Linked DNA regions of Lonchura striata. The protein of the gene in region 1 purifies or fractionates together with the protein of each later gene. This does not show direct contact. Links are inferred from orthologs where the notes say so. Each region holds a gene or a part of one and is shown in the gene's direction. Other genes may lie near its edges.

Region 1 (7,402 bases):
TGCCTGAGCATCTTGTGAAACATCTGTTCTGTGAGAATTTGAAGACTCTGCTAGACAAGGCTGTGGCCTTTGAAAGATGTCCCTGCCCAGGACAGGATGATTGGATTAGATGATCTCTAAAGGTCCTTCTGTGGACTTTTACCATCTCTGTTCCAAACCAGCGTGTTCTGTGGTTCTGTGATGCAGAGCTGCTGCAGTCTGTGCTCATGCTGAGCAAAAGGCTGGCCTGGAAATCAGAAGATTCTTCCAGTCTAATTCTGGGACTTGTTTAATTTTTGTTTTAATTCAGTGATGTCATGGAAGAACTTGAACTGCACAAAGGAAAGTTTTATAGGAAGACTAAAGCCCCTTGTGTTTTGAGCCTGGGCTCACAGGGGTGGAATGCAAATCCTGAGTTGGACATGCCTGAATTTGGAGTGAAAAGTAAGGAGAGGGAGTTTCAGTGGTGTTATCTGAGCTGTGATGAAGATCTAAAATAATACAGAATAGGATTAGTCTGTGTTTTCTGTGGTATCTTGAGTCACTAAACTGTGAGCCTTTGCTATGTGCTAATATTACATAGTCAAAATTGGGGAATGGACTATAAAGTATATACGTCACCTTGAATGTAGTCTAGGATTTTCCTTGTTTTTAAAGTACACTGCTCATCTATGCTATGAAGGGATAACATGAAAGGAATAAAGAAAATAATAATGTGTGACTTCATTGTTGGAATTTGTTGTCTGTACCACACCAGATGTTTTGGGGAGAATTCCCTTTTAGTCTTTATTCATGTGTCCAGCGCTGAATTTCTTAAGAAAGGAGGAAATTCTCCTTAAGCCAAAGCATCAAGAGCTGCAGTGCTCTTATCAGAGGCTACCTAGGCTTATCAGAAATCAAGGAGACCTACAGTAAAGCTTGTCTGGTGATGGTATTTTTTTTTTCCAGAGGTATCTATTAAAGCATATTTACGTCAGTAATGACAAGCTCAAATTTGGTGTGAAAAGTACTTATGCAACTTGTAATAGATGCCTCGGTGATCTGCAACAAGGAGGACAACTGGGAGTTGAGAACCTGCTAACTCCCAAGCAGTGATGAGGCTCTCCTGGGATGGGTTACACTGGATACCCAGGAAAAGCTGGAAAAGGCACAAACCCATGGGCTTCGGTGCACAGGCCACCTCTACAGCACGGATATGTGAGCCTCTGTTCTGGGCACGTGCAGTAGAGATAATATTTCCTTTGAAACACTTGCCATGGCTGCTGGCAGATGTGCTGATGCACGCCATGGATGGCTGGTCTAGCCCAGCAGAATTGCTGGTGCTCACACTGGGCTCGTTCCTAGGGAGCTTCTGCCCCATGCAAAGCAGGTGTGTACTGAGGGACAAGCTGCCCTGTTTGTTGGCTGGACAGTGACTGCTGGCACCTGTCTTGCTTTGAGGATTTTTTCGCTCATTCTCAGAGAATTCTCTCAGTCTCAGTCATGTATTGAACACTGGCTTGCACATAATCCTGGCCTTACTTGTTGCCTTCCTAATTTCTGGCTGTAATAGTTTCCTCATTCACTTTCTTCTTCATGATTTTGTAGTAATTTATCTTGTCTATTCTCCCCATTCTCATTATGTTTTTGCAAGCTGAAAAGTTTTACTCAATTTACTTTCTTCAGTAGGAAACCATCCTCTAGCTGGATCATTTTTCTTGTCCTTTTATGACTTTACTGTAGCATTTTATTTTTTAACTTATAAGAAACGCATGCAGGTTTTGATATGTGGGTGCTCTTTGCCTATTTATGCATTTGCTTACTTCTGGGATTTGGTTCTTTGTTCTTCCCTAACAACTGCTAACCCTGTGCTTGCCTTGATAGCTTTACAGCTCTCAGCTGGTTTAATAAATACATATCAATTATTATTTCAGTGTCACTTTCATGAGGGGCCAGTCTAGGGCCCACTTTGGTTTACTCTGTGAATTAACACACACTTACTGAAACTGCACTTCATGTACACCACTTAACTTCCCAGCTGGTTGTCACTGTGAAATCCTTGCAGTGGTTATGGATCTGAATGCTTCCTTTCCATGCACCTGATGCCACCAATGTTCTGGCACACCTGCTGTCCTGTGATAGAAGTGATGTCCTTTGCAAGTTGGTCCTCAAAACTGACTTGTTTCACTGTCCATGAATACTTTTTTTAAAGTAAAGTTTCTTTTCTGATCTTTCTGTAGTCTGCTTTGCTCTTCACTTTTCACTTGTTCTCAGTGAACAGCAGCAGAGCATTGCCAATGAACATTCAGTGCTTTGAGTGCCTCTTTCATGAGCTGCTCTGGCTGCTGCTTTTCAAGCCTTTTTTAAAATAAATTTCCTCCCTTTTCTGAAGCTGAATAGTGATGTGTTGAAAAAATAAAGCTTAAAATCCTCCAGAAATGCTGAATTGAACACACTACAGCCACCATCAGAAGATTGTAGTTGGCCCTGTGTGCTGTTCAGATTAAATCCTGTTGTGTGGTTTCCAGCTGATTGATTTGGGAATCATTTATGTTATTTTGAGGATTTAATTCCTGCACGATGTCTCTGAAACTATGGATAAATAAAATTGGGTGGAAGTACTTACTAGTCTCCCTCTAATACTACTTTCTAGTTTTGTAGTAATGTTGTAAATACCCAGATGTGTTGTCAGGCAGGAGTGGAGGCACAGCTGCAGCCATTCCCTGTGCTTAGGACACGTTGTCACAGCTGTAGTGAATGCTCTGCTCCCTTCCAGCTGTTGCTGCAAGTGGGAAGTGCTGTGTTTCTGGCCAGCTGCACCTGCTCTGGCAAGGCTTTCAAAGCCCAGATCACCTGGATCATCCAGGCAACATGTTGATACCAACCTCTACAGAAACTCCCTTCTGCCATCAACCCAAAGTTCAGCAGTTAAAAATCACACCACTTTCTTTTAAGATTAATTCCTGGGCAAGGGCTTTGTGATTCAACACTGAGGCAGGCATGTTCCATCAGTGTGGTGAGTGACATGTCAGTAAGTCTTCCACCAAACCCCAACTTCAGATGCCGTTGCAGCATTTCCATGTCTCTGGGCCCTGGGTGTTTGTCTGCAAAGCCCTTCAGAACAGGTCCTCTGGTGGTGTTGGTGTCTCCTGGGGTGCTACACATTTTACAGCATGTAATGTCACTATTAATGTTAGCTTGAAGTTGTCTCATCATGAGTTTTGGAATAAGCTTATCAAAAAAATTAGTGTTTTGAACCTTTTTTCCCCCTCTCTCTTTCTACAGGCTGATGAAGATCCTATCATGGGATTCCACCAGATATTTCTATTAAAGAACATCAACGATGCCTGGGTTTGCACCAATGACATGTTCAGGCTAGCACTGCACAACTTTGGCTGAGCAGCCCATCCCGAGGCACCCGGGCTTTTTTTTTTTTCTTTTTTCTTTTATTTTTTCTTTCTTTTTTTTTTTTTTTTTTTTTCCCGTTTTCCTCCTCTCCTCTTAACTGGTATTATTCACACTCACGGAACATTCCAAATATCATACACAAACCTGCAGCACTGCAGAGCGTGAGCAAGCAAGACTTGTGACCTGCCCTTCTGCTGAGTTTACATTGTCACTAGATGAGTTTCTTGTGCATGATGTTTGGAAGTTAGACTTAGCTGCATTTGATAAGAGAAATTTGTGTTGTACCAGCATGCCTCGGAAAGAATTTATAATGCAAAAGGTTGTTGTTTATGTACTGACAAGATGCTCTATAACCCAAAGAAATGAAAGAACAGCAGCCTGTACAGCCCAGTTATTGATTTGTTCAGATGTTTCAATGCTACATTACACAATAAAACAGAGATTTTCTTAAAAGTTTAAATTGTTTTTATGAGTTGGCTGTGGAGTGTGTGTGATAAGTGCTTGCTGGGGGTAGATTGTGTCTGTCTGGTGGGGGAATGCTTGCAGAGCTGGAGCTCCAGCTGAACAATGCCTCACAGTTTCAGCAGCGAGTGCAGGGCACGTCTGCCCTCCTCCATACACCATCTCCTCAGCAGCTTTTGTAACCGAGCCTTCTGGCTCAGTTTTTAACACCGACAGCTTCGTTCTCACCTGTTGTATTTTACGGATGCAAATTCCCCACTAGTACAGTGGCGGTAGCCTGCAGTCGGTCTCCGTGCCCGCTCCAAGCCACGGGACACCTTTGTTCCCTCCGCAGGCGAACGCACACGGGCAGTCTGTGCCTGGAGCTCCGCTCGGTTCCGCGCTGCGCTGTGTGCAGCCTCCCCGTCCGGCGGCAGCCGCCGTGTGCGGGGCGGCGGCGGGGGAGCCCCGGGCCGCCGCGGCCCCGCCCCGCCGCGCCGGGAACGCTCCGTTCGGGCGGCGGTTTCCGCCCGGCGCTCGCAGGGCCGGGCCGGAGGCGGAAGCGCGGGCGGCGGGGCCGGGCCGGGCAGCGCGGTGGCGGCGGCGCGGGCGGGCGGCGCGCCGGGCCCCATGGCCTCCTGCTCCAGCATCGACATCGAGGACGCCACGCAGCACCTGCGGGACATCCTCAAGCTGGACCGGCCGGGAGGTGAGGAGCGGCGGGGCGCGGGAGGCCGCCGGGCCGGGCCGGGCGGGGCCTGGTCTCGGCCGGGCCGCGGGAGCCCCTCGGCCGTTGCGCCGCCGCCCCGCCGGTTGTCAGCGGCCGCGCTCGGGGCCCGGCCGGGACCGCTTCGCCTCGGGGCGCCTGGCAGCGCCCTCCGACCCGCCCAGGGCCAGGGGTCCCGCTCGGCACTGCCTCGCTGAGCCCGCGGTGAGGAGAGGAGAGGGGAGGGAGCCCCGGCCTGGGGACCCTCGCTTGAGGGAGGGGCTGCTGGCGCTGGGCAGAGCGAGAGCAGCCCGGCCCCAGAGCTCGCTGCTGCGGCGCTCTCGGGGCTCCATTCAGCTGGAGGTGTTGCTGCTGGGAGCTGAACCGCACCGAGCTCCGTGACACGAGTGTCCCCCCTTCCCGGGAGCACTGGGAGTGGATCGAGTGGAAGAGGCTTGTAGGCTGCTCTGAGATCAGTGCCAGGTTCCTCCTTTACACGAACTTTTCGCTCTCCTTATTTGTACGTGAAATGGGATCACGGATATCTCTTCTGAAGTGTTTGTGAGTCTTTTGTGCTCGGAACTATCATACTTCCCTGCTCAGAGTTCAGCGGGCTCCCTTCTGCCTGTAAGAGTATCAGCAGCAGGCTCAGGAGTCAGCTGGTTAGTGTTCCCACTCCCCTGGAGCTTCGGCTCTCGATCTCATCTCCTTTGTTGAACCTGCTGTGGTGTTTCAGTCAAATGTGGTGAGGTAACACTCTGAAGGAGGCTGAGACATGAATGCTGTGCAAAAATATCTTAACCTCTGGGTAGAGGACAGAATTATGCCCCTCTTATGCTCCTTTCAAGAGAAAGGCAGGACAGGAATAATATAACTTCAAAATGTCCTGAGACTCAGCGGGAACATGCTACCTCCAAAGCATCTGCCATGTGTGCTGCCTTTTGCTTGGGCAAAAGGAAGAGAGGGTGGGTGTGGGATTGTTGTGGAGGGCTGTAGAGGCCCTTGAAGTGATGGGCTAAACCTACAGGAAGGCAGCTTCATTAGCTCTACTACCCTTAGAGAAACTTCTCATTAATTGGAGTAGTTTTTGTGGTTTCTGGAGTGCTAGCACATGTCCTGAATTCTAATTCTTACAAGAAAAATTCGTATTTTATTTGTAGTGCAGCACAGTACTTGGAAAACTGAAAGGAGAACTCAGTGCAGGGATGGGGAAGACTCGTTTCACAAGCAGTTTCTGAACTGAAAGGATATATTGTGGTTGAGAAATGGTTGGAGTTGTTGCTCAAGATGACTTGACTTTCTTCTGAAGCAGCTTCTCCTGCTGGTTGAAGTCAAGGAGTTACTGACAGAATATGGCTTATTTTTTTCATTCTTCTTTCCTCTTCATTCTCTTTTTGCCTTCTCTGTCAACTCCAGTGCACAAGAAGGCATCTGAGAGGAGAAGGAACAAGTGGGCAGGAAGTTCACAGGAGGAACCTGTGGCTATTCTCAGCAGAAATCACTGCCTGCATAACAGCAAATAAACTTGAAAAGACTCACATAATAAGGGGAAGAAGAAGAGTGCACATGTTAGCTGAAAGTCTCTGAAACTCCTGTTAGGCTGCCAGGGGAGAGGAATAGGGGAGCCTTCAAGTTTTGCAGTACCAAGTGCAGGTAGCCCTGAGCAGTGTTGTGTTCCTCTAGATCCTGTCCAGGCAGGTGACAAGAAACACTCCCTGCTCCAAAGAGTTCACAACTGTCACAATACCCTTTAAATTCTGCTGGGCTTGGTGAAAATGTAATCCACTGCCCAGTCTGTCTCTCTTGACACAGTTTCTCCCAGTTTTGGCGAACTTCTTGCAATGCTTCAGTAGCTGTTGCCAAAGCATGGACCTGCTTGCTGGGATGTGGGGACAGGCTGTCAGTGCCATTGTGCTGAAGAGGAGCATCCCTGCTGGTGTGGGCAGGATCCTTCAATCCATAAGAGATCTCTGCTGATAACCAGGTGTTATGTGGGCTCACCCTGCTCATGGTGCATCAGGGCAGTGTTCTGTTCAGTGCATGCTGGCATCTCCTGGTGCTGATGGTGGGAGCAGGAAGAGTTCAGTGTCTCAGCTCTGACTGCTCCTGCTCTTTGAAAAGGTAATGAATTCATACACCTTTCTTTCTCTTTGAGACCTTTATCTACCAGTCTGGCTTAACTTTTTGGTTTAGTTCATGTTCTTACTAAACAGAGCCTCTTCCCTTCTTTTATGCCTTCAGGATTGTGCACAGGCAGCACCTATGCTTGTCTGGCTTCCACTAACACAGACTGAGCTGTGCCCATTCCTGAACTTGGGTGTGCTGTTGTTGGGCCCATCAGCCTCTGGGGAGTGTTTTCATCGTTCCTTTTTCCCATGGAGCAAACATCACTATCCTGCTGTCTGTAAAAGAGCAGCAGTACTTACATGAGAGTCCTGTGGCTGCAAAAGGGCAAAGCACATATCATCTTTCTCTGAGAGACGGGATGCTTTTTCTGTAGGGAATATTTCCCTGCCTTTGGTCACAAAGGATCAAGTGCTGTCAGTGGAAGTAGCTGCAACTGGACAAGCACCCACCATATGCTCTAGGAATAAGGGGCAGATCTTAATGCTGACAGCAAGCATAGCACCAGTGTGAGGTGCTGGATCACATTCCTTGCTTGAGTTTCCTTGTGCTGTGTGAGTGCTGCTGCTTTTTCTTCATGCAGTGCAGGTACACTGAGGCAAGTGCCCGAATTGTCCCTGCATCAGTGTACCCTGTCACTGCACATTCCTGTGTCCATAATGACTCTTCATAAACAGGCAAGCTTAAAATACCCTTCTGGCAAATTAATAACTGCAGTTGTGTTTTAGGCAGCAGCACTCACCCTGATCTGTTGAAGCCTATTCA
Region 2 (7,045 bases), on another chromosome or scaffold:
TGGGTGCACCCACACAGCCAAATTCCTTGAATGTGAACTCATGGAGTGAATTCCTGAGTGTTCCTACTGATTGAAAAAACAAAAATCCACCAGCGGAGCCACTCACAAATTGAGATTTTAAATCAATCCTAACATGGAGCCTCCTGGAAAATCTCAAAGGACCGGGAAAGGGACAAAAAGGAACTGTAGGACACTGCTGGCTTTCAGACTAACCCTGCATTTGCTGCCTTTTTTAATATCAGGGTTTTTTTCTTTATCAAGCAATAGATTTCTGTATGCAGGCTAAGGAGCAAGGCTTTCAGGAGTGCAGGAGGTGCCTTTGCCACGCTCAGCTTTAGCCAGCGGGAAGGTGAAGCCTCATGGCAAACGCAGCAGCAATTCCTGCCTGTTTGTGCCCGCTTGGAATGCAGCTGGGATGGAAACCACACCACGTTTCTAACCCAATAAATACTCACATGAACATCTCTTGAGTCGCTTTCTGAATTTTATTCCACTGGAAAATAAATTTTTTTTTTTGCGGGGGGGAACACCCTATGCTGCTCTGTCATCCTTAAAAATCTGAGTTGGTGTATTGTAAACGCAGGCGAGCCCAATGGGGAGAAATGAGGATGTCTGACTCAATTCAGAAGGCTGAATTATTTTATTATAACTATGCTAAAATACATTAATATACTCTATTAAAGGAGGATACTAAAACTACAAACTACTTTCTCTGACTCTCACTCAACTTGTGACCCACTCTGAGAGTCCAGCTCCAGGTGGGTTGGATTGAGTTGGATTGGGTTGGGTTGTGTTGGATTGGATTGGGTTGGATTGGGTTGAGTTGGATTGGATTGGCCATCAGGCTCAAACAATCCTCACCAGAATCCAACCAAGCATCACCCCAGGTAAACAATTCTCCAACCACATTCCACATGGGAAAAACAAGGAGCAGAAACAGAAATTGTTTTCTCTTTCATTTCTCTCTGTGCTCCTCTATGAAAATCCAGAGAGGGAGAGAAACGTGCTGCCACAGGGGTGTGGGCTGTGACTCCAGGGGCACTGGGCAGTATTTTCATCCCAAAGGGAGCTGATTCTGGAAGGTGATGCCCTGGATCAGTTCAGGGCTTCACTAAAAATTGGGAATAGCTTTCTGTCCCTGAAAACCTGGAATCAGTAGGTCAGAGCCAGCCACGGGGGATGTTTTGTTCCCATTGCCGGGCATCATGAAATCCCAAGTTTTCCACGATTTCCCGTAAAAAAACAAACAAAAAAAAGCAAAAAAGGTGAATTTCCCTCGGGAAAGTTGGGGTCTGTTGATCCCCCAGGGATCAGCCCCAGCGCAGCTTGGAGCTGCTGGTGGTTTGGGTGTGGAACAGAGCAGCCTTGGCAGGGAGGGAGGGGATGGAAGGGATGAAAAGGGGACAGAGGTGGTGGAGGTATGAGGAGATGGGATGGATGGAGATGATGGAGGGGATGGAGAAGATTGAGGGATGGTGTGATGGAAATATGGAGGGGATGGAGATGATGGAAGGGCTGGAAATGATAAAAGGGATGGTGTGAAGGAGGGATGGAGATGATGGAGGGATGGTGTGATGGACATATGGAGGGGATGCAGATGATGGAAAGTATGGGGATGATGATGATAGAGGGGATGGTGTGATGGAGATGATGGAGGGATGGAGATGATGGAGATGATAGAGGGGATGGTGTGATGGAGATGATGGAAGGGCAGGAAATGGAGGGATGGTGTGATGGAGATTATGGAGGCATAGAGATGATGGAAGAGATGCTGTGATGGAGACGATGGAAGGGATGGAGATGATGAAGATGATGAAGATGATGGGGGGATGGTGATATGGAGATGATGGAACAGCTGGAAATGATGGAAGGAGGGATGGAGATGATGGAAAGGATAGAGATGATGAAGGGATGGTGTGATGGGGATGATGGAGGGATGGTGTGATGGAGGGATGGAGATGATGGAAGGTATGGAGATGATGTAGATGATGGGGTGATGGTGTGATGGAGATGCTAGAAGGGCTGGAAATGGAGGGATGGAGATGATGGAAGAGATGCTGTGATAGAGGGGTGGAGATGATGGAAGAGATGGTGTGATGGAGGGATGGAGGGATGGAGATAATGAAGAAGATGGAAGGGCCAGAAATGGAGGAATGGTGTAATGGAGGGATGGAGGTGATGGAAGGGATGGCGACTATGGAAGGGATGGAGATGACGAAGATCATGGGCGGATGGTGATATGGAGATGATGGAACGGTGGGAGATGATGGGGGGATGAAGATGATGAAGATGATAAAGGGATGGAGATGATGAAGATGATGGAAGGATGGAGATGATGGAGGGATGGAGATGATGAAGATGATGAAGGGATGGAGATGATGAAGACGATGGAGGGATGAAGATGATGGAGACGATGGAGGGATGGATATGATGGAGACGATGGAGGGATGGAGATGATGCAGATGATGGGGGGGTGGAGATGATGAAGATGATGGAGGGATGGAGATGATAAAGATGATGGGGGGATGGAGATGATGAAGATGATGGGGGGATGGTGTGATGGAGATGATGGAGGGATGGAGATGATGGAAGGGATGGAGATTAAGATGATGGGGGGATGGAGATGATGAAGATGGAGGGATGAAGATGATGAAGATGGAGGGATGGACATGATGAAGATGATGAAGGGATGGAGATGATGAAGATGGAGGGATGGAGATGATGAAGATGATGAAGGGATGGAGATGATGATGATGAAGGGATGGAGATGATGGAGATGATGAAGGGATGGAGATGATGAAGATGATGGGGGGATGAAGATGATGAAGATGGAGGGATGAAGATGATGAAGATGGAGGGATGGAGATGATGAAGATGATGGGGGGATGGAGATGATGAAGATGATGGGGGGATGGTGTGATGGAGATGATGGAGGGATGGAGATGATGGAAGGGATGGAGATGATGAAGATGATGGGGGGATGGAGATGATGAAGATGATGGGGGGATGGAGATGATGAAGATGGAGGGATGAAGATGATGAAGATGGAGGGATGGAGATGATGAAGATGATGGGGGGATGGAGATGATGAAGATGATGGGGGGATGGTGTGATGGAGATGATGGAGGGATGGAGATGATGGAAGGGATGGAGATGATGAAGATGATGGGGGGATGGAGATGATGAAGATGATGGGGGGATGGAGATGATGAAGATGGAGGGATGAAGATGATGAAGATGGAGGGATGGAGATGATGAAGATGATGGGGGATGATGCGATGGAGATGTTGGAAAGGCTGGAAATGCTGGAAGGGATGGTGGGAAGGAGGGGATTGAGGGACACAGGTGACAGGTGTGTCACACGGGAGTGACACAGGTATGACACAGGTGTGTGACAGGTGTGTGACACGTGCGTGACCCACGAGTGTGACAAAGGTGCCTGACACAGCTGTGACACTGGGAGGTGACCCAGGGGTGACACCGGTGTCTGATAGGTGTGACAGCAGGGTGTGACACAGGGGTGTGACACACTGGTGACAGAGGAGTGTGACACGGAGGTGACACACCTGAGACACAGGTGTCACATGGGTGTCACACGAGTGTCACACACAGGTGTCACACACAGATGTCACTCGGGTGTCACACTCAGGTGTCACACACAGGTGTCACTCAGGTGTCACACACGTATCACACAGGTGTCACTCAGGTATCACACAGGTGTCACACAGGTGTCACACAGGCGTCACACACAGGTGTCACACACAGGTGTCACACAGGTGTCACACACAGGTTTCACTCAGGTGTCACACACAGGTGTCACACACAGGTGTCACACAGGTGTCACTCAGGTGTCACACACAGGTGTCACACACAGGTTTCACTCAGGTGTCACACAGGTGTCACACGTTGTCACACAGGTGTCACGCAGGTGTCACACACGTGTCGCAGCCCCTGCGCGGTCTCTCACTGCGCATGCGCACACCTCGCAGTCTCTATGGTGTTTCCGGTGCCGGAGCGCCGCGCGCGGGGCGTGGCCGGAAGTGACGTCAGGCGCAGCCGCTGAGGGGAGCGGTCGGGGCAGCGGCAGCGGCGGCGGCTGCGGGGCCGTGCGGGTGAGTTTGGGCCCGGCTCCGGGATTGCGGCTTCCCGCGTGCTCCCCGCGGTACCCGCCCGCCGCGGGGCCTGCCCGGCGTCGCGGCTCTCCTCCGCACGCCCTGCCCGCCCTTCGCCCGCGGTGGGCCCGGGGCAGGCCCGGCCGGGAGCTGTGCTCGGCTCTGGTCCCGCAGGGGTTAATCACGGCTGAAGCGCCGCGCTCCGCTGTGGGGTGCTGTGGGTGTTTTTGGGGGGACCTGGTCAGCTCGGGGGGGCTCTGTGTGTGCCCATGGAGGTGCCCTGTGTTTGTCTCTGGGGACGTCTGTTTGCTTTTGGGGGGTCTTCTGTTTTGGGGTGTGCTGTGGGTACATGGCGGGCCCTGTGTTCATTCCGTGGGGGTTCTCTGTGTTTATTTTTGGGGGTCCTGGTGTTTATCTATGGGGGTTCCTTGTGTTTATCCGTTGGGCGTTCCCTTTCTTTATTTTGGGGGTTCCCTATGTTTATCCATTGGGGGTTCCCTATGTTTATCCATTGGGGGTTCCCTGTGTTTATCCATTGGGGGTCCCTGTGTTTATTTTTGGGGTTCCCTGTGTTTATCCATTGGAGGTTCCCTGTGTTTATCCATTGGGGGTCCCTGTGTTTATCCATTGGAGGTCCCTGTGTTTATCCATTGGGGGTTCCCTGTGTTTATCCATTGGAGGTTCCCTGTGTTTATCCATTGGGGGTTCCCTGTATTTATCCATTGGGGGTTCCCTGGGTTTATCCATTGGGGGTCCCTGTGTTTATTTTGGGGGTTCCCTGTGTTTATTTGTGGGGTTCCCTGTGTTTATCCATGGGAGGGTTCCCTGTGTTTATCCAGTGGGGGTTCCCTGTGTTTATCCATGGGAGGGTTCCCTGTGTTTATCCATTGGGTGTCCCTGTGTTTATCCATTGGGGGTTCCCTGTGTTTATCCATTGGAGGTCCCTTTGTTTATTTTTGGGGGTTTCTTTGTTTATCCTTGGGGGGTTTCCCTGTATTTATTTTTGGGGGTTCTCTGTTTATCCATCACAGGCTTCCCTGTGTTTATTTTTGGGGGGGGTCCATGTGTTTATCCTTGGTGGGGGGGGTGTCTGTTTCTTTTTGGCAGTTCCCTTTGTTTATTTTTGGGGCATTCCCTATGTTTATCCATGGGAGGGGTCTCTGTTTATTTTTGTGGGTTCCCTGTGATTATCCATGGAAAGTGTCTGTGGTTATTTTTGGGGTTCCCTTTGTTTATCCATGGGGGGATTCCTTTGTTTCTCCCTGGGGAGGTTCCCTGTGTTTATTTTTGTGTGTGTGTGTGGGGGGGGTCCCCTGTGTTTGTTTTTGTGGTTCCCTGTGTTTATCCATGGGGGTGGGGTCTGTGTTTATCCATTGGGGGGATGTCTGTGTTTATTTTTTGGGGGTTTAATGTGTTTATCCATGGCAAGGGGTCTGTGTTTATTTTTGGGGGTTCCCTGTAACTATCCATGGATAGTGTCTGTGTTTATTTTTGGGAGAGTTCCCCGTGGTTATTTTTGGGGTTCCCTGTGTTTATCCATGGGGGGATTCCTTTCGTGGTTATTTTTGGGGTTCCCTGTGTTTATCCATGGGGGGATTCCTTTCTTTATCCCTGGGGGGGTTCCCTGTGTTTATTTTTGGGGGTTCCCTGTGTTTATTTTTGGGGGTTCCCTGTGTTTATTTTTGGGGGTTCCCTGTGTTTATCCACGCAGGGGATTCCCTGTGTTTATGCATGCTGGGGGTCCCTGTATTTATTTTTGGGGTTCTCTATGTTTATTTTTGGGGTTTCTCTGTGTTTATCCATGGCGTATCCCCATTTTCATTTTGGGGGTTCCCCTTTTTACCTTATGGGGCTGCTATTTTTGCCTATGGGGCTGGCTGAATTTACCTGTGGTAGCTCCACATGTTTTTAAATATTTACAATATTTATGTTATTTACAATATTTGGGATCCCTGTGTTTACCCATGGGGCTCCCTATATTTTCCTACAGCGACACAGCCACCCCTCTATTCCAACTCCAGGGTAGTTAAACTTATATTTGCACTCAAACATAGATTTACTTTTGGGTTTTCTGTGCTAAAAGGAGGCTCCTGTTTTTCAGAAGTGTCTGTGTAAGGTGCTGCTGTGTGCCGAGCTCCTTCCTGTGTTTCCTAAGGGAGATGAGAAGAAAGCAGGAAATGGAAGGAAGCTTTGGTTTCCCTGTGGTCCCCAAGGCTGTGTTATCTGTGTTTTGGGAGTGTTTTTATCAGCCACCTCCTTGGAATGCAGACATTGTCACCGTGGGTTAACATAAACACACAGCCACAGGAAGGACAGGAGCTGCTCCTCAGGAATTGATGGCTTTGTCACCAAATTTCACATTTTCTTCCCTTTGAAGCATCCCCTCTTTTCAGCCTCTGAAAGTTGGGGGAAGTGAGATTTTTTTTTTCCCCCCTAATCCAAGTTGTTTTTTTTTTTTCCCTTGTTTTTTTTTCAATGAGGCTCAGCTTGCAGAGAATCCAGCTGCCTCTTCCAGAAATGTGATTTATACATGGAAGTTGCTCTCCCTGGGCTGTCTGCCGTGTTTCTTTGTGCTGTTCACAGTAAATATCAAACATTCTCCCTCTTTGATTACAGCATGAAAGGCAAATCTCCACATTTAGGAGCTTGTCATGTCTCCTGTTCTCCGTGATGCTCGTGAGCCTGTCACTGGGAAATCTGGGATCAAAGGAGCTCTTTAGCTGCTTCCAGCACTGTTGGAAACATCTGTCTAAACAAATTGGAGTTTTTCTCCCCTGGTTTTGACAGAACTTCAGTGCAAGGAGAAAAACTATTTTAAAATTCATTTATCTAATCGTGGCACTGATGCTGCCTTTGCTGCTTTTATCCTGCATTCCAGTTTTTGGGGATTTTTTTCACCCTTTTGTGTTTCTCTGTTGGTTGGGGTTCCCCTC
Region 3 (7,338 bases), on another chromosome or scaffold:
TATACCGAAACAGCCCAAATTTTAGATTGTTTCTATTTTGTGACTCTCCTCTCTCCACTATCACCCTCCAAACAAAACTAATTGCTACATTCAGAATTCTGCTGCTGTGGAGAATTTCTTGTTCTCTCTCACACAAATTCACAAAAATTCCAACGTTTCTGTAAAATAAACAGCAGAAATTGTGGCCAGATTGGGATTTAGAGTTTTGGTGTTCCAGTTGAAAGATGTTTTTGGTGTGGGACATGTGGCCTTTTTAGTTCTGATAAGTGAGGTAGAAATATTGTTAGGTTATTTCTTCTGGTTTCTTTTTAGTAAGTCTAAATTGTCCTATATAACAATTTAAAAAAATGTTTTTAAGCAAACTTGCAGATTATAAAAGAAAAGTTAGCATTTTTGCAATGAGACTACAGAGCATAAATATGTATTTAAGAACAAAATTTTATTCCCTGCGTTAGTGTGTTAAAAAAGGGGGAAAGAGGTTATTTGGACAATGTTATCTTTTACTCTGTGTAATTTCCCCTTATCTGAGTAAGACTGTGAGCTGAGCAAACATATCTTGCCAGCTAGGAAACCGCCACTGACAAAGAGGGAGGAAAAAACTTAAAACCAATGCAAATAATGCTTAAAACACTTAGGGCATCCCTTTTCTTTTTCTCAATGTAAAGGGAGAAACTTTTGAAGTTCCGGAAATTGTTCCTTTCCGCCTCACTCACAACATGGTTAATGGGATGGGTCCCATGGGAACAGAAGGGCTCTTCCGAAGAGCCTGTGAAGTCACCCTGAGGCTGATGCGTGATCAGAGGGAGCCTCTGATGAGGTACGGCAACTACTTCTGCTACAAACTCCCCAAAGCTGTCTGTAGTCTAAACGTGTGAAACAGAAACTGCTGGAGCATATGCCTATCCTGCAGCTCACTCTCACCATGACATAGAGCTAAATATAAAGCTATATAAATATTCAGCACTAGCTACAGGCTCCTGACAGTGTTTATGTTTTGAAAATTAAATGTATTTATGTATCATATCCTTTTCTAAATTTTTTATTTATTTAGTGTCTTAAAGACTTTTCTCCATGATCCTCTTGTGGAATGGAGTAAACCTGTTAAAGGGAATACAAAAGCCCAGGTGAATGAAACTGGAGAAGTTGTCAATGAAAAGGTGAGTTTAAAACAAACACAGCCTAAGGTATTCAAATGTGGAATGTCCATTATTGTTACGAATTACATACTTCCTAATGAAAACTTCATTTTTTTTTTTCTTCCATTTAAAAATTTCTCTGTTTGTTCTTTGTTATCTTTCTGTTCATAATTTTTATCCATGACGAGATTTTTTTTAACTGATAAAAAATGTAATTTATCTGTTAAAGAACCAAACAAAAAAGCCTGTCATTCTCTTGTTGGTGTTACTAAATCAAGGAAAATATCAGCAGAAGTGATGCATCTTGTTACCCCTCACTTGCAGAGTCCTCCAGATTTACAGTGATGGTAACTTCTGGAGTCCTTTCCATGTGTATATTCATGCTTTTCCTGAATGGATGTTTATTATTGAATAAATATATGCCCTGGTACATATAGAGAATGATGTGATTAAAATTAAGATTTCATACTGTTTCTTTATTAGCTGCTGCTGAAGACTGTATTATTCACCCAAAGTATAGCTTAATTTTTAATATCTTCCCTCTATGCAAAATTTCTGATTTGTTCCTTTCTATTTTTGGGGGTTTTTTTTAAGGACAGTTTAATGAAAATAAATGTGTAATAGCAGACAATACTTAGGGAGCACTAACAAACACAGTTAAGATAAGGAAAAACTACATCACTGAAACTGTATGACAACAAAGAATTTACCTGTTCTATTTCAGCACAGAAAATCTCTTGGTCTTCAAACAGTTTCTAACCAGCTATGTCTACATTCTTTTACAAAAATTTTCTTTTACAAGACCGCCCACATAATTGTATATGTTAACTGCTTTTTCTGGAGAAGTGCCAACGATGTGCTTGAGATTTAAAAGAAAATGTGTGAATGTAATTGGTATGAACTAGCAACTCCAGTGGGCCTTGGAACAGCTCATTTTGAGATGCTCAAATTTTGATCTAAATTTTCCAGACTTAAATTTTATCCAGAAGTCCAGGAACAAGGCTAGGAAAATGCTGCATTTATTTGAAATTAATTGTATGCAATAAGCTTTCTAACAATTCTCAGATATATTTATATAGCTCTTTCAGTCTCCTTTGGTAACTTTTAACTGTAAAAATGTAAGGCAAAAGTTATAGCTTGGCCAATAATATATCCATGCTAGAGAATTGTTCTTATAAGTGAGTAGCCTTTGTTTTCAATGTAGCTGGTATAGGCATCTGGATTTTGTGTTAAATTATAATATGATTTCAAACACATCCTAAGGAATACTGGTTTTATTTTGAGAAGTGGAAGTTCATGAATAGTACCAATTTTTTTCTTCTTTGCAGGCCAAAACTCATGTCCTTGATATAGAACAACGGCTGCAAGGTGTCATTAAGACTAGAAACAGAATCAAAGGATTACCTTTATCTATTGAAGGGCATGTTCATTACCTCATTCAAGAAGCAAGTGATGACAACCTGCTCTGCCAGATGTATATGGGCTGGGCTCCATATATGTGATATTTGTTCCCTTTGGAATAATAGCATCCACAAGTACTGTAGCTGTAATATTGTTGAGAGGGAATCAGTGAGTGGTACGTGGTTACTTCTGTTGATTTTTGGCTGCAAGCAGAAGAAAAGGTTTATGGTCTTCCAATATCTGTGTAAAATGTACAGTGCCCTTGCAAGAATGATATGAATGCAGATGTGTAAGGTGTTAGGACTCACCTTTTGTACATAAAAGTCAGTACGTAAGAACTGCTTAAAATTTAGACTATGCAAGGCTCTGCAAGTCTCTGACTAAATGAAAGATTTTCATGATGTTGACAGATGCACTCTATAAAGTACTGTATATTTTTGTACATGTTTCTCATTTGGCTTAGATTAGAAAATAAAACAATGAAGTTTAATACTGATAGGATGTAAAGTGGTTATTTCAATTTCTGTATTCATATGCAGAAGGACTTTCTAAAAATTATTAGTATTTCTTTCCAGCAGTAAACTTTTCTTCAACTTTCTTTCCTGTTGTGTGGCTATTTCTAGGAAAGCTTTTGGGATTTTAAATCTTAGCGTGAGTAAACTGGTAAAGTGGTTCCATATTCTGAACCTATTTCCTTAGCCCTTCAGTGCAGTGCTCTAAAAAAACCTCCCGAAGGACATGGGACAAAGGGAGCTGCAGGACGCTGGCAGTGTGGCTGTAAGGCCAGGGCAGTGGGCAGGTGGTTGTGGCTGTGAATGTACCATCCGCGTAGGCTCCCGAGAGCTTTGTGCATCCCCTCTTCCGCCCTGGAAAAAACACGGCTCTAGGGAGTATTTTTCAGACTCCATTTCAGAAAAGGTGTTTTTGCACAGAGAAGAGTAGACTAAAATATGGTTGAAAGGCAAATGTTAATTTACAGTAATGCTTGCTTTCTAGGCATCCAAAATGTAGGGAAATGAGGGGTGGGGGGGGAGATAGGGAAAAATTACACCTTTTTAACCTACAGTAGGCTATTATTAGAATTTTTGTGGTTTTGTTTCTGCTATTCTGAGAGACAAGCAGCGCTGTTAGATTTCGATTACAGGTTCACACCCGTGTGACACTCAAATGTTTGCTCTGTTCGGCTGAAATCCAGAGGTTTGGGAAAGTAAAATAATGGGTCTGCAACTGCTTCTAGGGCGTTTGTTTCTCCGTCGATCAAGTGCGCAATCTAGAAGTGTTGTCACTGTCCCATAAACGTGCCGAGTTTTCCTAGTAAAATATTTGGAACATACTGTGTTTCCGGTGTTGTGTTTGAGCGCTGACGTTCTGTTTTTTTCCCAGGCTTTATCGGTTTATCGGAGCGCAGAGAGCCGCCCGAGGAGCTGTTGCACCGGGCGGTGCCATCGCGCGGGGAGCAGATCTGCGGCGCGGGCTGGGGCGGGACAGGGGCAAAGGGGGCTCTGCGTGTTCGCGGCTCTCCCCAGCCCTGCGTACCGGGGCGGGACAGGGGCAAAGGGGGCTCCGCGTGTTCGCGGCTCTCCCCAGCCCTGCGTACCGGGGCGGGACAGGGGCAGAGGGAGCTCCGCGTGTTCGCGGCTCTCCCCAGCCCTGCGTACCGGGGCGGGACAGGGGCAAAGGGGGCTCCGCGTGTTCGCGGCTCTCCCCAGCCCTGCGTACCGGGGCGGCGGTGAGGCAGCCGAGGGGCGGGACCCGGCCCGGGCCCGCCCGCTCCGGCGCCGCTCCGTGCCGCTCGCTCTCGGTGCGGGCGCTCGGCCGCTGTCAGCGCGGCGCGCCGGAAGGAGGGCGGAGCGCGGCCCGCCGTGTTTGGTTCCGGCGGGGCTGTGAGGGCGGCGGGGAGCTGTGGCCATGGGGGTCCCCAAGTTCTACCGGTGGATCTCGGAGCGGTACCCCTGCCTCAGCCAGGTGCTGAAGGAGCATCAGGTGAGCTGCGGGCGGAGCGGCGCTGCCTGACACGGGCCCGCCCCGGGGGTCCTGACCGGCCCCTCGGCGGGACGGGGGAGCGGGAGAGCGCTCGGGCCCCGTCTCCGGGCGGCCCTGCGGCACCGAGTCCCGGCCCGGCCCGGCTCGCCCACGGCCGGGGCGGTGCGGCTCAGCGGGACCCGCCGAAAGCGGTGGGACGGCGGTGGGCGATCCCTGGGGAGCGGTGAGGCGTTCGGTGCCCCCTGACAGCCCGGCTGCCGGGCCGAGCCCGCCGCTGGCAGGCAGCAGTGGCCGCGGCTGGGGCCGGCGATGGTGGCAGCAGTCCCAGACCGAGCGCGCCGTTCCCCCGGGAGCGGCGGGTCCCGGCCCGCGCCGCCCGCCCGCCCCGCCGGGCTCTCCCTCGCTCTGGTCCGCTCGGCAGCCCCCGCCGGCCGCGCGGGAGCCCGCGGTCGGAGTTTGCTCCTTCTTGGGCTCAGAAAAGTTACAGCTGCTGACGGCCAGTGGCGCGGTAATGACGAGGGACAGGTTTTACAGCTGTGCTGCGTTTCCTTGTTGTCGCCTGCGTCGGACAGTTTGTGTTAGTAGCTGAACCGGGAAGTATGTTCAAGCCTGGAAAACTCAAGCCGTAAATCATATTTCCAATAGTTGGACAAAGACGTCATCTTTTCAGAGATGACATGTTTGGTACCTGTTGGATACAAGTGCTTCTAATTATCATTTTCAGCTGGTGTCACAGATGTGGTTTTATAGATTGAGTAAGGATCTTCTGAGATAGGTGATAATTGAGAGTGTGTTTGAATATTAATACATTTTCCCTGAACACCTGTGATTTTTAAAGATTAAATAGCTGTTGTGTCCGTGTAACTAAGGTGCCCAGCTCAAGTGATTCCCAGCCTGGATGTTTGGCCTTATCTGATAGTTTTAAAGCAGTGTTCAAAGCTTAGGGCTTTGCTTATGATTTGTTGGCCTTCTCTGAAGTGTCTAATGTTATCTGTGTAGCAAGGTGGCAGCAGTTTATGCTGCCTTTTCTGCTGTTTCCTTAGAAGCCTGGGCTGCTGACACATCTTTAAACTTGTGCTGAAGAACTTTGGCAAGCTGGGGAGGCAGCAGTGTCTACTCTAACCAGGGGTATGGCAGCAGAGGGTGCCACCCTTGATGCCTTCTAAAAGAGGCAGCTAGAGCTCTTAAGACAAACAGTAAACACAACCCTTCCAGATCACTTGAAGATACAGACTGACACATGCTGGCATCTGGAGTATACGCTAAGAGTAAAAAAAAAAAACCAAACTAATAAATCAAAAAGCTGTTTTACTATCTATATAAAACAGCATTATTGTTAAATCATATTATAGCTGTTCTTCTCAAATAAAACATAGGACCTTTTATGTATGTTGCTTCCATGTAAAAGCTTTTGGTTTTGTGTCTTTAAGACGCTGCCTATGCACTGCCCTGCTCACTTATCTGAAAGCACTGAGAGCAGTTTGGTTGCTGAGTTGAACCATACTAAAGATCATGATGTGCAACAGAAGGCTAGTTACAGCAGTTGATTGGGGATCATTCCTGATCCTGCCTCTAATTTCTTCTCTTCACCATTTTCTCTTTCTAAGACAGTTACAGTTCTCATCTGGAGGATGAATGCAAGCCCAACAAGGTGCCTTTAAAGATGTGTGAGCAGTAGTTTTGTAGAAAACTGTAACAAGTTGGCAGTGCCTTTTCCTAGGTGTGATGATAGGGGGATTTTTGTGAGCAGTCTTACTGAGGGATTAGGGAAGAGATTTCTTTAATGTCAGTTGCTCTTGTGGTGCATTTTGGTGACACTGAGGTAGTACTGGTCCCTTTGCATCATACATTTACCAGTGTTTGTTCTCTGTATGTTGCTTGTGTACATTTGGGAAGGCTTTCTTTTTCCTTGAAAAGAAAGTATGACTGCTATAGATAAGGCTGTTAGAATAGCAGAGAACTTAAACGAAAGATAAATTCTGTTTGGAAAGTCTGGGTAATAAATTGATATTATTATTGCCAGCTCTCTGCTTTTGGTGGTAATTTCCACTCTCTAGACTCAAAGATGCTCACAAGCATAACTAAAGAGACAGCATACAGTGGTTGGGGTAGGAGCTGCTGAACAGGGGGAGAACTCTAAAGGTTCTTAAGCCATCTTTGCTTGGAAATATTGTTGGAAATTGCATGCTCAGTTTTGTATTTTTTTTTTTTGTTTGTAGTGCAGCTATGAAAAGTTGAATCAATTAAATGTGCAGGCTTACAAAAAAAAAAGAAAAAAAAATCTTCCTGAAAACAGTGGTTTTGGTTTGCTTTTCCATTTTACAATGTAGAAGATAGTCGGAGCACAGGGACAAAAGTCTCGAAGTTCCAGAAACAGCCAGGATAAAGTAGTAACCTGTTCAGCTGACTTGGCTCCCTGACAAAAATCAAAGTAACAGACTGCATGTGCAGGCAAACCCATACCCTGTCCAGATATTCTTACTGTGCCTGTTGGTGTGCAGGAGGTTCCACAGAGGTCTTCCCACCTCAGCTCATTTCCAGAGTGCTCTCAGGTGTGCCTTGGGCAGCGGCTGCATTCACCAAGTGGTGCTAACTGTGGCATTTGCAGATTCCAGAATTTGACAACTTGTACCTGGACATGAATGGCATTATACATCAGTGTTCACATCCCAATGATGATGATGTCCACTTCAGAATCTCAGAAGATAAGATTTTTGCCAATATTTTTCACTATTTGGAAGTACTGTTTCGCATTATTAAACCAAGAAAGGTTTTCTTCATGGCGGTTGATGGAGTAGCTCCAAGAGCGAAAATGAAT
Region 4 (7,783 bases), on another chromosome or scaffold:
GAGTCCCAGGAATAATGTTTTCTCTCTAGTTCTGATTTATGTCAATAATAAACTTCTCTCGTTCCTCTGTCAGTGACAGATTCCAACTAAGGGTGAACATGATATAATTTGGAGCTGAACCTCTGTGCCCTAGTTAAAAAAAATCATTTTACCTGTCTAATTTCACTACCTACCTTCATCAGAGAAGAGCTGTCATATTTTGATGCAAATTCCAGCAATTTACATGTTTCAAGCTGGCAGGCAATGTCTTCCTAGAAAAACTTGCCACCCTTCCACAATCTCCTGTGAAATGGCAAACCAGGTTAGAAAGATAGAGGAGATTGGATTACCTGTCTGCACCAGATCATTGTTTCTAGGAGATAATCCATAAATGATTAAGCCTTCTAATGTTATTGAGCAATGTAAGGAGGGCTGCCTGTGACCTATTTCACCCTCTTACACTGTTGTTGTGGGAGTAGCTTTACTGTATAAATTCAATTGAGTGTTTTCATTCTTCTGTTTTTATTGAATTGTAACTGTAATTTAATGACTTTTCTCTGTTTCTTTCAATATAATTTCAGAATCTCTTGGAAGGACCGTAACTATTGGTTACACTCATATCCAAAATGTCAGTGGACACACAGATGGCTAACTGCTTTTTTTTTTGTCATTTTCCTAGTACTTTATCAAGCTACATTATTTCAGAAAGTGCTGTTGTTTTTAATGTTTCGTGCTTCACATTTTCTAGAAGATTTTTCCAATTGTACAAGGAGAAAAAAAAAAAAGAAAGTCATGCATTCCTTTACAGAATCATTACTGCAATTATTTCATGGCAAAGAAACTTCTAGTTAAATTCACATTTCAGTATTGCAACAGCTGGGAAACTCAGAAACTATGCAAAATAGTTCTGTGTTAGATCTGTTTTATACAGAGCATGGAAACAGGAAAAAATCCCCTACCTAAAGCTGGGTAAATCACTAGTCCCATAACAATCTTCCTAAAGCTTGTCACTTCCATGTGATGATCCTGCCAAACCTGCAGTCCCTTTACACACCATTCCATCCCACCAAATTTAATTGTTTGGATTAACACTGCTGCCCTTCTACTGTTAATATGTAGCAATTTGGAAAACTTTCCTCTGAAAGAGGAAGAAGATTTTGCACAACTGAAAGCAAGGATTTGTCACCATGAATATGCAGTAAGGTACCTGTGGCTGCAGCATTAGTGCAGAGAGAGCACAGTGCAAGCTGGAGCTCCTAGAAAAGGCTGCTGATCCACATGGTCCTCCAAAGGGCAGAATAACTGCCAGGGAAGGTAACTATAGAACCTGAGCAGTTTATACCATATTTATACAAATGAGGAAAATGCTCAAGTAATGCCACCTGTGAAATAAAAAGGTTTTTCAAATAAAATGTCAGCACTTCAAAAATTCTAGCATCCCCTTCCCCTTGGGTTTTTTTTTAAGCAATAAAATGCAAAATAAAAGTTCATTAAGTTATTAAGGAAGTTATGACCAGGACCTTTTGTCCTATCTAGAACTAAGCCCAAATAAACAGTTTGTAGAATTACAGCCATTATCCTGAAATTTAGGGTTTAGATAACAATGCAATTATCAATCAATAGCCCAGAAATTGCCTCCCATTACAAAACAAGGAAAACATCTGCAAACAAACCAACAGAAGTGTGTCATTTGCAAAACAGTTCATGAAACCAGGAATTTCTGGCAATTGTTTTGAATAGAAAACTGTAAAGAAAAAATACAAGCTCTGTGAGTCACTCAGATTTGCAAGACTCCCTGGACCCTAATTCAGCCAGGAGTAATAACAGGAAATGCACTGACTGGGAGCACTGGCTGCACTTCTCCCTCATCTGAACAGCAGCAATAATCTTTTGCTGAGGATATTCAGCCAACAAGGGAAAAAGAAAAGGACTGAAGAACTTTTCTGTAGGAAGTTTAAAGGAGTAACTGCAGCCCAAATAAGCTTTGGGAACACATGAGTAATCTACTGTGCAAAAAGAGGGGCCAGAAAAAGAGTTTGTATAACAGAACTGCCAACAGCAGAGCAACAGAGACTCAGCCATGGTGTCAAAAGCAAACAAAAAAGAGGGTCTTTATTACTTCATCTGCCTTAATATTAACACAGATTAAGTAGGGTAATAAATTAATATATCCTCTTCTAAAAAACCTCAGCAGTATAAGTGAACTATAAAACACAATGCTCCCTTCACTTGTTGAAACACAAATGGAATCTGTCCCACTCACAGAGAAAACATGAAAAGAACACTGTGACAGCACATTTCTCCCTCTCTCAGGATTTTTCATAGACGTGCACAGAGAGAAATGAAAGAGAAAACAATTTCTATTTCTGCTCCTTGTTTTTCCCATGTGGAATGTGTTTGGAGAATTGTTCACCTGGAATGAATGCTTGGTTGGATTCTGGTGAGGATTGTTTGAGCCTGATGGCCAATCCAACCCACCTGGGGCTGGACTTGAGAGAGAGGGTCACGAACTGAGTTAGAGAAAGTAGTATGTAGTTTTAGTATCTTCATTTATATAGTATATTAATGTATTTTAGCATAGTTATAGTAAAGAAATCATTCAGCCTTCTGAATTGAGTCAGACATCATCATTTCTTCCCATTGGGTTTGCCTGCATTTACAACCGTGTGGGCACCGTGTGCATCATCCCGCTTGTGCCTGGCTCCGTGCAAGGATCAGGAGCAGGGAGTGAGAGAGGAACATTTCCCCAGCACAGCTCTGGGGAGGCTTGAGGAGATTTGCACCACACAGCACTCCCAGCACACGCCTGAGTAGCTACAACTCCCCAGTGTACCCCCAGACTCTGCCTGTACACACACTTTGCTGTGCTGCAAGGTTGAGGAGGCAGAGGACAGGCCATGCATCACTTCCAATCCAAAATATTTTATTCCAACGCAGCAACGGTGAAGACAGGGAGAATAAATTCACTGAAATGCAGCACTGGAATGAGCAGATGAAGGAGGAAAACAATCCAGAAGCAGAAACCACTGCTTCCCTTCCTTGCTGCTCCTTGTGATTCACTTTTAATGCAAGATGAAGCCAAGGAGTTTTTCACAACTGAGATCTCAAACAGCACAAAATTTCCTTTGCCAATAAGTTTTTAAATTTGAAAGATAGCTTTTCTTTACAGTAATCTTGCAGAAGGGGGCAGATTGATGCAGACGTTTAAGATACCATTTGGAACCAGTTTTTTAAAAAAGTTTTTGTCATTTTCCTTCTATTTGAGTTCTTAGAATGTGGTTGCTGTATAAAATAGATTTCAAAGTTTAATTTCTTCTTAGCATCTTTCTCTAATATAAACTGTTAGTGAATAATGAGAAATTTTACATCAAAGTATTGCCTTTAAGAGCAAACACTACAGAACTAGGGAAAACCCAAATTTTATGGATTAGGCTCTTCTATGGTGAAACCATTAGAAAGACATGGACAATTTATGGAGCTCCAAGACATTCCATATGACTTTTGTTGAGTTTTTTACTGATGTTTATGCCCTGGGGTTCAAGGGTGAGTTAGTGGGATGAAGTTTTCTGTCTAGATTACTTTTTCCCTAATAAATGCATTTTCACTTTACACTGTAACTGTTTGACACCAAAATAGGCACATTATTGTTTTGTCCCAAAAGCTTTACAGTTTAAAAAAATTACACTAGAACTTGGTATTTCCACTTCTTATCAGATAGACTTTTGTGGAACCACACAACTGCTGGATCCTTGTTTATGGTTAATGCAATGCAATAAATGTCAGCCATCATAGGAGAGGACTATCCTGTAAAGCTCTATTAAAAGTTTGTATCAGAAGTTTGTCCACCTGCAACAAAAAAACTTGACTTGTGGTAATACAGAGCATAGCACATATTCTTGAAATACTCAGGGTCAGGAGCCTGCCACAGACAAGATTTTGTTTAGAAATATACAAACCTGTTTATTCCATGTCAGATTGCAAAAAATGCTACAAAGGTACTTGAACCTAAGTGATCTTATCTTGGACATAATTTATGCCTTGGTCCTGATGAATATACTACACTTTCCTGTTCCTAAAATCACCAGTAATTGAAAAAGCTGCAGGAAAAAAATCTCAGTACACTGCATATTACTTTGTTCTTGTTTCAGCAAATGTAGATATGTACTACACAGCACTCCACTTTACATAGGGCAGTTTAGCGCCCTATGCACCTTCACTTTACCTGAGAAACGTATGTGTGGATGTTTACTACACCTGACAGAAATACTTAATCCCCAAATTCTTCTAAAATATTGAGAATTCCATATCCCACTGCAGACCGTGAAATACTGATATACCAGAAAATGACGGACACGGGAGCAAAGAGCATCCACCCTCCTGAGCCTGTGAGCCAGCTCATCGCGCTTCACAGGGCAGCCTGCAGTAAGCTCCGGAGCCTGCGGATCACTAATGGGGTAAATAAATAAAAACAAGATGCGAGGGCCAGCCCGCAGCCCTGCCCAAGGCCCACGGCCCTGCGAGCGCTCAGTGCCCGGCGCTGCGAGCGGGGAGCGGCGCCCGGGAACGGGCCGCGGGCCCGAGGTGAGAACAGGGCCCGGGCAGGGGCCGCGGTCCCGCGGTGAGGAGAGGAGCCCGGGAAGGGGCCGGGAAGGGGCCGCGGGCCCGAGGTGAGAACAGGCCCCGGGAAGGGCCCGGCGGGGCGGGGCGTGGGCCCAGGCCGGCGGGCGGAACCTCAGGCGCGGGCCGCGCGCTCCGGCCGGCGGCGGGGCCGGGCACGCCGCTGCACCGGCGCGGCTGTCGCCGTTCCGCGGGCGGGGCTGCCCGGATCCAAGATGGAGGCGGCGGGCAGAGCGGGGCAGGAGATGAGCCTGGCGGCCCTGCGGCGGCACGACCCCTTCATCACCGGCATCGCCGACGTGACCGGCCAGGTCGCGCTCTACAGCTTCAGCCCCAAGGACAACGAGTGGGTGAGTCCGGCGGGGCGGGCCCGGCCGTGCCCGCGCCCCGGCAGCCGCCGGGCCCGGCGCGCCCGCGCGGGGCCGAACCCAGGGGAGTTCGGGGTTTGGGCGCGTTCCCCCCTCCTGTAATGGGGGAGAGGAGCGAGAGGGAGACGGAGAGAGCAGGCGAGAGGGAGAGGAAGAGGAGGAGAAGGAGGAAGAGGGAGAGGCGAGGCCGTGCGTGCGCTCGGGGAGGCGGCGCCGCTCCCCCTCGGGCCGGGGCAGCGCCGGGGCTGGAGCGCGCCTTGGCTGCTGCTGGCCATTGACTTTTCTCGTTTTTAAAGGTACTTTGTTGTTGTTGCTCGCGCCTGTTGCACAGAGCCCTAATTCGGGAAGAGAGGAATTTAAGATTGCATTAAAGCACAGTTTTGGCTTGACCGCCGGGTTCATCGCAGAGCCATAAAAATGGGAATATGGGGAACTGCCCGTGCAGCCCTGGAGCTGGAGCAGCTTTCCTCGACACGCCCGTGCTGAGGGTTGCTCTGGGAGCTGGAGTCTGCCACAGAGCCATGCCCACGGTGCTACCGTGCTGTGCTGTTGTGGCTGTCCTTGGAGTAGAACTGGAACACAACCTCTCGGATATTTGGAGTCTGCTCAGCAGGGGAAGGTTGTGGAACAATGTGTGTGTATCACGTCGGCAAATAGAGAGAGTGAGCAAAGTGTTTTGGAAGTAGGTTTAACGTCCTAATTCTTCTAATTAAAAAATTTGGAAAGTTATGAAAATAAGGGAGCATAATTTTTGTCCTGTGATGTCAAACCTTATGGAAAGATATGGATATTGTAAGTCTGTAATTAAAACACTGTACAAAACCTACCTGTGTGAACAAGCACATCCCTGAAGTGCTTTTGTTATCTTTTGTAGGAAAAAACTGACATAGAAGGGACCTTATTTGTGTATAAAAGGTAAGGTTACTTTGGGTTGGTTTTTTGGGGGAGGGGGTATAGAGTAGTGGCGATATTTGTTTTCTTTCCTTAAGAAAACAAGCTCCAGATGGCTTCCTACAGAGCTTTCATACTCATCATTTTTTGCTTGTCCAGCTGTTAACTGCTGTGTAGTCATTCAAGAAGAATAAATTCTGCACATGGGTGAATAACTCTGTTAAAAGCCCCTAAAAGTATTGCTAAGAAAGTGTAAAACTTGAATGCTACATATGTACCCACATCAAAAACTAGTTTATTGAGCTTATTTTATTAATCCAATAGCATTTGTTAGTGCATTGAGTTTGTTTAATGCCAAGTCTCCCTCTGTCTCCTAACATCCATGAAGCTGATTATGAAAACGATAGACATGAGAAATTAAATAATGTGTTTTAAATTACTAATGGAATATATAATAAATTTTTGTAAATGGATGGAGTTGCCCAAAAGCTGGAGATCTTGTAATGTCTGGTTTTGGGAGTTGTCTGATTTCCTCTCAAAATCATGGAAGAAATTTCCAGCTCTCTAGGACAGGTAAAAGGACTGAGGAGAACCAACACATAATATCAATCATAAGTTCAAGTCTTAAATTATAGGCAAATTAAAAAATCTAAATTAAATAACACTTTGTTGAAGGTAAGAAATAGAAATAATGCAGACTTAAGCCATCCTGAGGCAGACTGTCATAGTTTGGTTGTTACAATATTTTATCTCAGTACTGTGTAGGGATTTGAGTCACAGTTCCTTTACTTCAGCTCCCAGCTTGGAAATACGCAGTGTAAGAAAGTATTAACCAAACTTAAAAAAAAATAAAATCAAAAACCAAAGCAAAAGCTTTGTGTCACTAGCTGATGATTTCAAACAAGTTCTGCGAGGTGCATTAAGGGACTCACTTGTGATGGTAATGGTTGTTTACCCTGTCCTTGGAAACTCTTGAGAGATTTTTGGTGTCAATCATTAGGTAAAGGTGGCCACGCTGTTACAGAAATCTTTACATTTACCAGCTTATTGTGTCTGATTTTTAGCCTACCTTCGTTGTTGTTGATTATACAACATTTTACAGGCACAGTTCAGTGCTGACAGGACATTCATGCAGCAAGAAAAAACAGATCTAAAACTATCTTGAACTTTCAATGCTTGCTCAGTGTTTTCTTTTTTTACTTGGTGTTCAGAAAAAATCTAGATAAATAAAAATTGTTTCACTGAGCAATACAATTCTGAATAATTTACTTTCAGGATACTGGCTTAAGTCTTTATTTGCAGAGTCTCCCTTTAGGAATAAATTACTGTTTATGGTTCCCCCTGTAAGTGTACTTCATGCTATTTAAAAGATAGCAGTTCTTTTTTTTATTGTCATGTCTATTTACAATAAGGTAATGATGCTGTGTAAATGGTTTGGTTTTTGTCCTCTAATTAAAAAATTCTGAAATGCCTCAAAACAATCTTATATCAAGTATTGAATAAATTTGCATTTTAATAGTGGACCTGCCCTAGTTTTTTTTAATAGATTTTTCCGAGGCATATCTTTGATTCAGCAGTGTAACAGTGTAGAATTGTAATGTTAATCCTAATCCTGCTTTGAGGTAAATGCAGTTTAGTTTGAAATTGAAATTAGGTGGTGTGCCAAGAAATGGCATAGAAAAACAACTGTGAGAGCTGCAGGACTGCTAAAACTTCATGTAAGAAAGCAATGGAAATGTGAAGATAAATTCATAACTTGGTATCAGAAAATTATTTTCGTTAATGAAGATATTAATCCTTGGTTTTGTTTTCCTTGACACAATAGGTCAGCTTCTCCTTACCATGGTTTTACAATAGTGAATCGACTGAATATGCACAACCTGGTTGAGCCAGTAAATAAAGATTTGGAGTTTCAGCTCCATGAACCT

Evidence for each region.
Region 2: the proteins of EDC4 (region 1) and EDC3 purify together in Homo sapiens (affinity purification with mass spectrometry; 6 studies listed by BioGRID and IntAct, with this or other methods). This does not show direct contact. The link is inferred for Lonchura striata from reciprocal best matches to the Homo sapiens genes EDC4 and EDC3.
Region 3: the proteins of EDC4 (region 1) and XRN1 purify together in Homo sapiens (co-immunoprecipitation; 4 studies listed by BioGRID and IntAct, with this or other methods). This does not show direct contact. The link is inferred for Lonchura striata from reciprocal best matches to the Homo sapiens genes EDC4 and XRN1.
Region 4: the proteins of EDC4 (region 1) and DCP1A purify together in Homo sapiens (co-immunoprecipitation; 9 studies listed by BioGRID and IntAct, with this or other methods). This does not show direct contact. The link is inferred for Lonchura striata from reciprocal best matches to the Homo sapiens genes EDC4 and DCP1A.

The regions. Positions count from the first base shown.
Region 1 is NC_134615.1:16,944,154-16,951,555, reverse strand, and holds the start of EDC4 (enhancer of mRNA-decapping protein 4), read left to right. Parts: upstream 1-4,388; 5' UTR 4,389-4,437; coding exon 4,438-4,516; intron 4,517-7,402. Other genes in the region: NUTF2 (nuclear transport factor 2), read left to right, coding at 3,244-3,357. UniProt on the Homo sapiens protein: In the process of mRNA degradation, seems to play a role in mRNA decapping. Component of a complex containing DCP2 and DCP1A which functions in decapping of ARE-containing mRNAs. Promotes complex formation between DCP1A and DCP2.
Region 2 is NC_134613.1:5,971,875-5,978,919, forward strand, and holds the start of EDC3 (enhancer of mRNA-decapping protein 3), read left to right. Parts: upstream 1-4,039; 5' UTR 4,040-4,112; intron 4,113-7,045. UniProt on the Homo sapiens protein: Binds single-stranded RNA. Involved in the process of mRNA degradation and in the positive regulation of mRNA decapping. May play a role in spermiogenesis and oogenesis.
Region 3 is NC_134612.1:12,799,855-12,807,192, reverse strand, and holds the start of XRN1 (5'-3' exoribonuclease 1), read left to right. Parts: upstream 1-4,338; 5' UTR 4,339-4,445; coding exon 4,446-4,520; intron 4,521-7,128; coding exon 7,129-7,338. Other genes in the region: serine/threonine-protein kinase ATR, read left to right, coding at 666-817, 1,052-1,157, 2,465-2,638. UniProt on the Homo sapiens protein: Major 5'-3' exoribonuclease involved in mRNA decay. Required for the 5'-3'-processing of the G4 tetraplex-containing DNA and RNA substrates. The kinetic of hydrolysis is faster for G4 RNA tetraplex than for G4 DNA tetraplex and monomeric RNA tetraplex.
Region 4 is NC_134614.1:10,596,364-10,604,146, reverse strand, and holds the start of DCP1A (mRNA-decapping enzyme 1A), read left to right. Parts: upstream 1-4,774; 5' UTR 4,775-4,811; coding exon 4,812-4,946; intron 4,947-5,838; coding exon 5,839-5,879; intron 5,880-7,680; coding exon 7,681-7,783. UniProt on the Homo sapiens protein: Necessary for the degradation of mRNAs, both in normal mRNA turnover and in nonsense-mediated mRNA decay. Removes the 7-methyl guanine cap structure from mRNA molecules, yielding a 5'-phosphorylated mRNA fragment and 7m-GDP.